Linked DNA regions of Caenorhabditis elegans. The protein of the gene in region 1 purifies or fractionates together with the protein of each later gene. This does not show direct contact. Each region holds a gene or a part of one and is shown on either strand. Other genes may lie near its edges.

Evidence for each region.
Region 2: the proteins of R107.2 (region 1) and paxt-1 fractionate together in Caenorhabditis elegans (co-fractionation; one large-scale study listed by BioGRID). This does not show direct contact.

What each region holds. Positions count from the first base shown.
Region 1 is NC_003281.10:9,044,019-9,047,942, reverse strand, and holds the start of R107.2 (ATP-dependent (S)-NAD(P)H-hydrate dehydratase), read left to right. Parts: upstream 1-2,004; 5' UTR 2,005-2,010; coding exon 2,011-2,061; intron 2,062-2,539; coding exon 2,540-2,863; intron 2,864-2,905; coding exon 2,906-3,149; intron 3,150-3,635; coding exon 3,636-3,732; intron 3,733-3,781; coding exon 3,782-3,924. Other genes in the region: ikke-1 (Inhibitor of nuclear factor kappa-B kinase epsilon subunit homolog 1), read left to right, coding at 1-100, 200-267, 1,358-1,445, 1,532-1,588. UniProt on the Caenorhabditis elegans protein: Catalyzes the dehydration of the S-form of NAD(P)HX at the expense of ATP, which is converted to ADP.
Region 2 is NC_003279.8:8,594,161-8,598,084, forward strand, and holds the start of paxt-1 (Partner of xrn-2 protein 1), read left to right. Parts: upstream 1-2,172; 5' UTR 2,173-2,177; coding exon 2,178-2,284; intron 2,285-2,793; coding exon 2,794-2,911; intron 2,912-2,959; coding exon 2,960-3,057; intron 3,058-3,105; coding exon 3,106-3,193; intron 3,194-3,241; coding exon 3,242-3,372; intron 3,373-3,419; coding exon 3,420-3,625; intron 3,626-3,924. Other genes in the region: R05D11.9 (Sphingomyelin phosphodiesterase 4), read left to right, coding at 1-15, 61-233, 283-617, 954-1,147, 1,199-1,327, 1,382-1,539, 1,585-1,703, 1,752-1,910. UniProt on the Caenorhabditis elegans protein: Plays a role in maintenance of steady-state concentration and turnover of microRNAs (miRNA) by degradation of mature miRNA in complex with the exoribonuclease xrn-2.

The DNA.
Region 1 (3,924 bases):
TCAACTCGGATTTGTTCGCTTAGGAGATATATTGATCAAAGCCGAATCGGAGCAGACACTTACAAGATCAGAAGAGATTCAAGAGACGCAGGTTGTAAGTGTGAGTATTTTATTGGGGTTATCAAAATAATCCTTTCGTTGCTCTAATATAATCGGCTTTTGATTAAACGTTTCATAATTTTCAATTAAATTTTATTAGTTTTTTTGCCAGGCGGAATCATCACCGAACAAAGAACAATTCCCTAAACCGGAGCAGGATTCCATTTTGTATGTCTCCTTTTTCTCATCAGACACTGCTTTTCCCAAATTAGTTCTGTATTTTTATGTCATACTAGTCTCCTACTTGCATAGATTAAAGTTTAGATGTAGTATGAGAGAGCAAGAGAGAGAGTGATCCCTGATTTTTTAGAACTAAAAAAATGGAGAGAATCTTCAAAAAGAAACGCAGAGAGAACGGAAACGAAGGAGGCGACAACGACGTTTGTCGGATTTGTTGCGAGAATGAAAGACAAGAGAAACGAGAAAAGAAAAGGAAATCTTCTGGCAGAAGACACTGATTTTCTAGACTTCCTCTTACTTTTTAACACTGCTCTCCATATTACAAGCCTTTCACATGTTTAGGTATACGTTTAAATGAGAAGTGGCCGATCAAAATTGTTTTGCGAATTTCAGAACGAAACATTTCAAAAATGAGTTCAAAACCTTCTTCTGGCGGTTCAAAATTTCGAAATTTCGATTTCGACAAAATGTCGACAAAAATAATTAATTTTTTAACTAAAATTTCCCCAATTTGCCAACTTTTACGCGCCATAACGGCCTGTAGTTTAATTTTATGTAATTATTGTCCCATTATGACATTTTTGTCAGTTATCTATAGTAATTTAGTTAATTTAGGTACAGAAAAAATGGCCAAAAAAAAGAAAATAAATAAAGTGATAATCAAATAAAAATCTGTTTCCGGCCGCTTTGATATGTCGATGTTTGAAAAATTGGAAATGTTAGTTAAAAATTCGGTTTCCTTTTCTGTAAATTTTGAACCGCCATAAAAAATTTTGGACAAATTTTTGAAAACGTCCGTTTCGAAATTCGGTCTTCTGGGTCATTTTGAATATAATAAAACAAAAATTGATCAGTTACTTTTCTGTTAGCTCTTAAGATGTAGCTAGATCGCATTCAATGAGAGTTACCCCTAATTTTTTGAGTTTTGAAGGTATGAAAATGGAATTCAATAGACTTATAATTTTTCAAAGTATTCACCATTTTTGGTGAATGAAAAAAAAATCACGTTAACTTTTAGATATTAAAAATTCAATTTCTCCAGTTCAAAAACATCTTGTATAAATCTATGTTTTTGTAGAGAGTCATCAATTGATGAAGGCTCAACTTCATTCGAATCAACACCACCATCGTCCCCTCCTGACGTTGGGTCTAACAACTATTTCCAAGTAAGCTTTTATTTCTCTTTTCTTTTCTCTTTTCTTTCTTCACTTTAATGCATCTCCTCTCCTTGTGCTCTACCTACATTTTGCAGGCCGTCTTTCAGTACTTTGCCAAGCCGACGTCTTCCCCTTCTTCTTCTGCGAAATAATTTCCTGTAAATACTCGTCCCGGTTTTTTTCCTGTTTTTCAATCAAACCTTCCAACCCTGTGCTATTGACGCCCGGAAATTTGAATTCCTTCAATCATTTTTTTTCTTACTTTTTCTCACCCCTCCACTCACACTCATTTACCCACATTGTTGTATCATCTTTTCAGTCTCTCCAAGTTGATTGCGAACACTTGTTTATATTTCCATCTAGTCTGTGTTATCTCGTTTTATATGTTCTCTATAACAGACGTGTATATAATGAATTACGAGGATTATCGCACCCTTCCTCTCACTGAATTGAAGCCATTTTTGTCTATCTTTTTTCGTTTTTTTAGAGAGGAATTGCCATCTTTTGATTTCTTTTTTTCGAAATAATTTTTGGTGCCAGTACATTGTTTTATTAATTTTTATTTCAGATTTCTATGGATCATTTTATCAAATTGTTGCCAAAATTGACACCGCATTTGAGAAAGGTTAGTTAAAGAAATAAAAAAAGAAGAATTTAATTAGGGATAGTAAAAAAGAGAAAAAAAAGTTGCAGTCCTGTAGTAAACAACAACTTTTTTGTGGCTCAATAAAAAAGTTTATGGATAGAACTTTTTTTTTCCTTTTTCGAAAATTAGGAAAACAACACTGAAAAGTAGAGTAGATAGAAAAGTTCAAATAGTCTGTAATCATCAAAATATGTATATTATCTAACTCAAAAAAATAACACTTAAAATAAAATAAAACTCACCTTCTCAAAACTAAAAAAAATAATTTAAAAACAATAAAAATTACAAAAACTGCTTGAAATTTGGCAAAATCGGTGAAAATAATTGAAAAAGTTATAATTTCTGGTTTTGCTTCCAATACCTAACAAGACCAAACGTCTTTGTCCACAGAGTACGATTGCACCTTGATTTAAAAAATTGTATTTCTCTGCATCTATACCTATACAGTCGTTTTCAGGGTGATTGCGGTAAAATGGGAGTAATTGGAGGATCTCTCGAATACACGGGTGCACCCTACTTTGCCGCTTCTTCAGCATCGCGACTAGGAGCTGATCTTATTCACATCTTCTGTGATCCAGATGCGGCTCAAGTTATTAAAGGATACTCTCCGGATCTGATTGTACATCCTGGAATGACGGCAAATTCTATTATTCCCAAACTTTCCCGAATGGATGCAATTGTGATTGGTCCTGGATTGGGACGAAATCCAAACATTTGGCCACTTATGCAGGAACTTTTCGAATTCGTCAGAAATAGAGATGTTCCATTTGTAATCGATGGGGTAAACTGAAATAGTTTGTATTTTTTACAAAGCATCTTTCAGGACGGTCTTTGGTTTGTGTCTGAGCATATTGAAAAATTCCCACGGCAAATGTCGGCTACAGTACTCACACCGAACATTGTTGAGTTCTCACGTCTGTGTAAATCGGCTCTTGGTGAAGAGGATGTGCTCAATGTGAGAAATAATAGCCAACTACAGCATTTGGCTGCCGAGTTGAGTCGGAAAATGAATGTTACGATCTATTTGAAGGGAGAAGTTGATCTAGTGGTCACCCCGAACGGCGAAGGTAAGGCCTAATCTACTTTAAGGTTGATCTTTTTCCTGCGAGAATGCTGAAAACTGAGTTTTTTTGACATCAAATCGGAACGAAACTGCTCTCCACGTACACATAAGAACGCTCCGCCCCTAAACGTTGGGTCTCGTTAGGTATTAACCGGCGAAACCAGGAATTCAAAAGTTTTCAAGAAGTTTTAGTTTTTTGTTAATTTTTTCGAAAGAAAAAAAGTTAAATTGCATAAAACGGAGAAAATCGACAAAAACAATTGAAAATGTTTGAATTCCTGGTTGTGCTGCAAAAACCTAACGAGACCCAAAGTTTGGGGGTGGAGCGTTTTGATTTGGTGTTGGAGCGCGCTTGCGCCTCGATTTCAAAAGGCGTTTTTTTTTAAATTAGAAAACTTGCAAAATATTATTATATTTTCAAACTACGAAAAGTAGAAAAAAAGAGTGATAACTGGAAAAAAACATTTTCATAATCTTCGGACTTTTTCAGTATCGAAGTGTTCAACCGAATCAAGCTTACGTCGCTGTGGTGGTCAAGGTGACGTCACTGCTGGAAGTTTGGGCCTTTTCTTGTATTGGGCAAAAAAGTGAGTTCCATAAAATTGGGACTCTACAACAAAACCCAAAAAGTTCCAGAAACCTTGGCGACGACTGGACATCAGCTCATCATGAAGCTGGAATTGCTTCAAGTTGGTTGGTCAGAACAGCCGGAAGACGTGCATTCGAAAAACATGGACGATCAATGAACACTCCACTATTGCTAGATGAGATTCCAAAAC
Region 2 (3,924 bases), on another chromosome or scaffold:
ATTGCTTTTAATTCGGTATTCAATCAAGTTTTTTTTATTTTCAAAAAATTATTCATTTAGATATCTCCTGAAACAATTCCACGTGTTCTGTCAGTTCAGCACAGGCGATCCGGAAGTTGATAACTGGAAGTTGGATTTGATGGCTTCTGCTCCTTTCAGATTTTCGCTTTACGATTTCTTTAAAAGCTCCGTAACTCAAGTGCCTACAACCATAGTTTTTAGAGATATAACAAGTTGGTTTACTACTTTAAACTTTTTTCTCGTAATGTTAAATAATTTCAGTGTGCTGGCTTACTTATTGCCGTCCTTGGCGTTATCACAACATGTCAAATCCGTCGGATTTCGCTCCAGCGGCCAAATATCGTCAGTTCTTTGAGAAAAACGTGGAATTCTATGAAGTGATACTTGGCAAGATTCTCAAACGATTCTCGGCATTTGAAATGTGCGAGGAGCTTCTTGGATCACTGCGAGCTATCATAGAATTTGCATGGAAAGAGCCACAAACACTTCTGCTCCGTCATATCCAACTAGACATTCAACCACATTCTCTTGAACTGTTGAAACAAATGCAAGTGGTTGTTAGAATGCATCGGAGTGCGATTCAGAAAGAACAAGATGTTAGTTTTGAGCATTTCAAGATGAAACACTCACTTACAAAAAAGGCCTGTTGCGTGGGTCGACCCAATTTTTTTTTAGATCGGCCTGGTCGAGACCCCGGCCTCATTTTTTATTTGAAAAAAATTGTCAAAAACTAAAAAAAAATTTATATAAAAAGCTGAAAATTATCGTATTTTTTGCAAATTTGAAAGAAAAAACACCATTCGATATTAAAAAATCTTTAAATTCATCATTTAAACACGTTTTCCAACGAATGTTTTTCCAATTATTTTTTTCGAAAAATGGGTGGGCCCATCTCGGTCAATCTAAGAGAACTATGCAAATTATTTTTTCAGGAACACTCAGGATTCTGGAACTCTTTATTCTATAGTGGTGATTCGGCTAGAACACAGTCCAGTCGAAGACTTGTTAGCGAATTGTTAACACTAATGAAAGACAGCGATTCTTATGTTGGAACTCATTTTATGCCGGAAATGGAAGATTCTGTATTGGCAAATAGAACAGGGAATGAAACTTTTCATAAGGAAAAGTAAGAAAATACTGATTAAAACACTTTTTATTGATTGAAAAATTATTTCAGATTATACACATCACTTTTGAACGAAACACCAAAATCTGGTCTTGGAATACCTGATCATTTTGTTGATGGACCATCAAATCATATGCTGTTAACACCAATCGGACAACGACAAGTTTTGAATAGAGAAAAGTTAGTTTTAATTGTCTTTCGTTATATATTATCGTATTATATTATCTTTTGTAGACGTTTTGACTACTCCAATTGCATTAAAGATGATCCAAAAGCTCCAACAAGAAGCTACGAACTTGGGATTGCTGTTAAATTGACGACTTCTTTGGCTCAGAAGCTCAACGAACTTTCATTTGTTCAGAAAATTGGAGATCATTATTCACAACAAAGTGGTAAGTTGGAAATTATTGTTTTTTTTGTAATTCATGTTATTTCAGTAATTGGTGCAATTGCTCGTAAAGTAATGTATCCACCGGTGCCAAATCTAGATCCGAATGCAACAGTTCCAGCGTATTCAGCAAGAATTATACGATCACCTCCTTTGCTTCGTTTACGGGTAATTTAAAAGGGATTATCCGCCGATTTTAATTGGTTTTTTTTGCAGTATTTTGCCAGCTACCAGTCAATTTTCTTCATGATATGGCTACTATTCGCTCTGAAATACGGATTAACTTTTACAATTGTCTCTCTGATTCTCATCGCACTCTCGGTCACTGTACTCTTGTTCATTGAGCTCGATTCCGGGTCTTCATCATCTTACTGACACTTGTTTGTGATTTCTCTGCTCCACCACTGTCATCATCTCGTCTGTTTTTTTTTGTTTTCTGTCTGAATTTTAATCAAATCTTTTTAATTTATTTTTTTCTTCTAATCAAATTCTAGTTCGTTTCTTTTTTCATGGAGTAAACATTCAATCATAACGCGGCTTTCTTTCATAATCTATTTCAAGTTTAAATGTCAGCTTTAAAATATCTTACCGTTTCTATTTTTACGGAAATCCTATTGAAAAAATACTTTATTTTCAGAAATAATGGGGAAGTTAGAAGACGTGGAAGCTGAAAAGAAATTATGGGAGAGCGACGATGCGTGGGAGCTCCGAAAAGCATTCATGCTGGCACATTATGATGACTATCCGAAGTTTGTTTCAGCACTGGCCGACAATTCTGAAAAATGACTTATTGCACTATGTGCTCCAAATATTTTCATTAGAGTTCCAATATTTTCATTAAAAATTAGTGCCAAAATAAAGAAAATCACTTGATTTATCTTTAAAAAAAAATCATTTTATGCAGCTGAAATATTCAAAAAAGCTGTCAAAAATCACCTGAAAGCTACCAATCATCGAAAAAAATTGGAGTTTTTCATTCCTTTTTGAGCTCTTTTTTCGAATGTTTCAGTTAAAATTGATAATATTTTCAACTAAATCAAGTGAATTTCTATATTTTGAACATAATTTTTAATGAGAAGTGTTGGAAAAACATGGCGCAATACGTCATTTTGTAGAATTACCACCCATGCCTGATTTGTTTTGATTTCAAATTTTATAGATTTAAAAAATTAATGTTTCTAAATTGTGTTCTGGAAAAAAAAACATTAGTTTTATAATATCACACTTGTACTATTTCTAAAACAATTTTCAATTCCAGAATCCAACTTCAATGCCTCTCACAATTATTCATTAATGTAACACTTCTCGGATGTGAATATTCTCAGACTTTAATGCAAAAGATTCGAACAATGGGTGCTGGAATTGCTGCTAACAAAGTAAGTGATCTTCATTATTTAAAAATATATTTCAAATTTAATATTCAGGATCGTACAAAAACTGGAAGTTACGTGAAGGCATCTGCAGCGAAAAAGCGACAAGCAGTGAAGACATCAGATTTAGAAGGAGCTTCTGATGAGTCTAAGTAAAAAAAACTTTTCAAAAATTGCAATTTTCAATCTTTTTGTTCCAGAAAAGTAAAAATGGAAAAGTCTCCATCGCCAGTAGCTCGTGAATCTTTTGATGAACGTCTTGGAAAACTCAAGGCATCTCTTGCAATGGTGAACATTTCAGATTTAACTTTTAATCTTTTAATCTTTTAATTTCAGACACCTCACCATCTAACGGGCGAACAAATGATGAAAACTGCCACGAATAGTTGTCTCATGAAGTGGCACGTGAACAAGATTAACCAGAAAATTGAAATAACTATCGATCGATATGTGGCCTTCAGACATACGTTTGTATAAAAATCTTCGAAACTATTTGAATTTCATGTTCTTTCAGATTCTCCCAATACTGTGTTGATCCAAGGGATTGTGCAATCAATACTCTAATTGAAAGCATTCTTTCGTGTGACGCCGCTGTTCACGAAGAAAGCTACGAAATTAGATTTGATGGAGTTCCGGTGGACGAGTGTTACGCTAAATCAGTCACCAGAAGACTTGCAAAAATTAAATCAGCAGTTTCTAATGGTGCACATACAGTTAAAGGCGAGCTTTTTTCATTTAAAAAAACAGTATCACTAAATTGAATGAAACATTTGGTCTCAAAAGTAAGGATTATAAAAGTTGGAACAATATCTCTTCAAAAATCATTTTAGAAGTGGGATTGTTGAATTTGATTGCAAGCTCGTTTTATCAATTTTCGGCTGTAAACCCATTTTTATTAGCGGCAACACGTTTAAAAATTTTAAAATATTGCTTCCGGTACTTATGGATGCCGTTCCCTGAAACAATTATTTTTAGAAAATATATTTGAAAATTGGAAGAAAAAAACTCGAAAGTTTGTT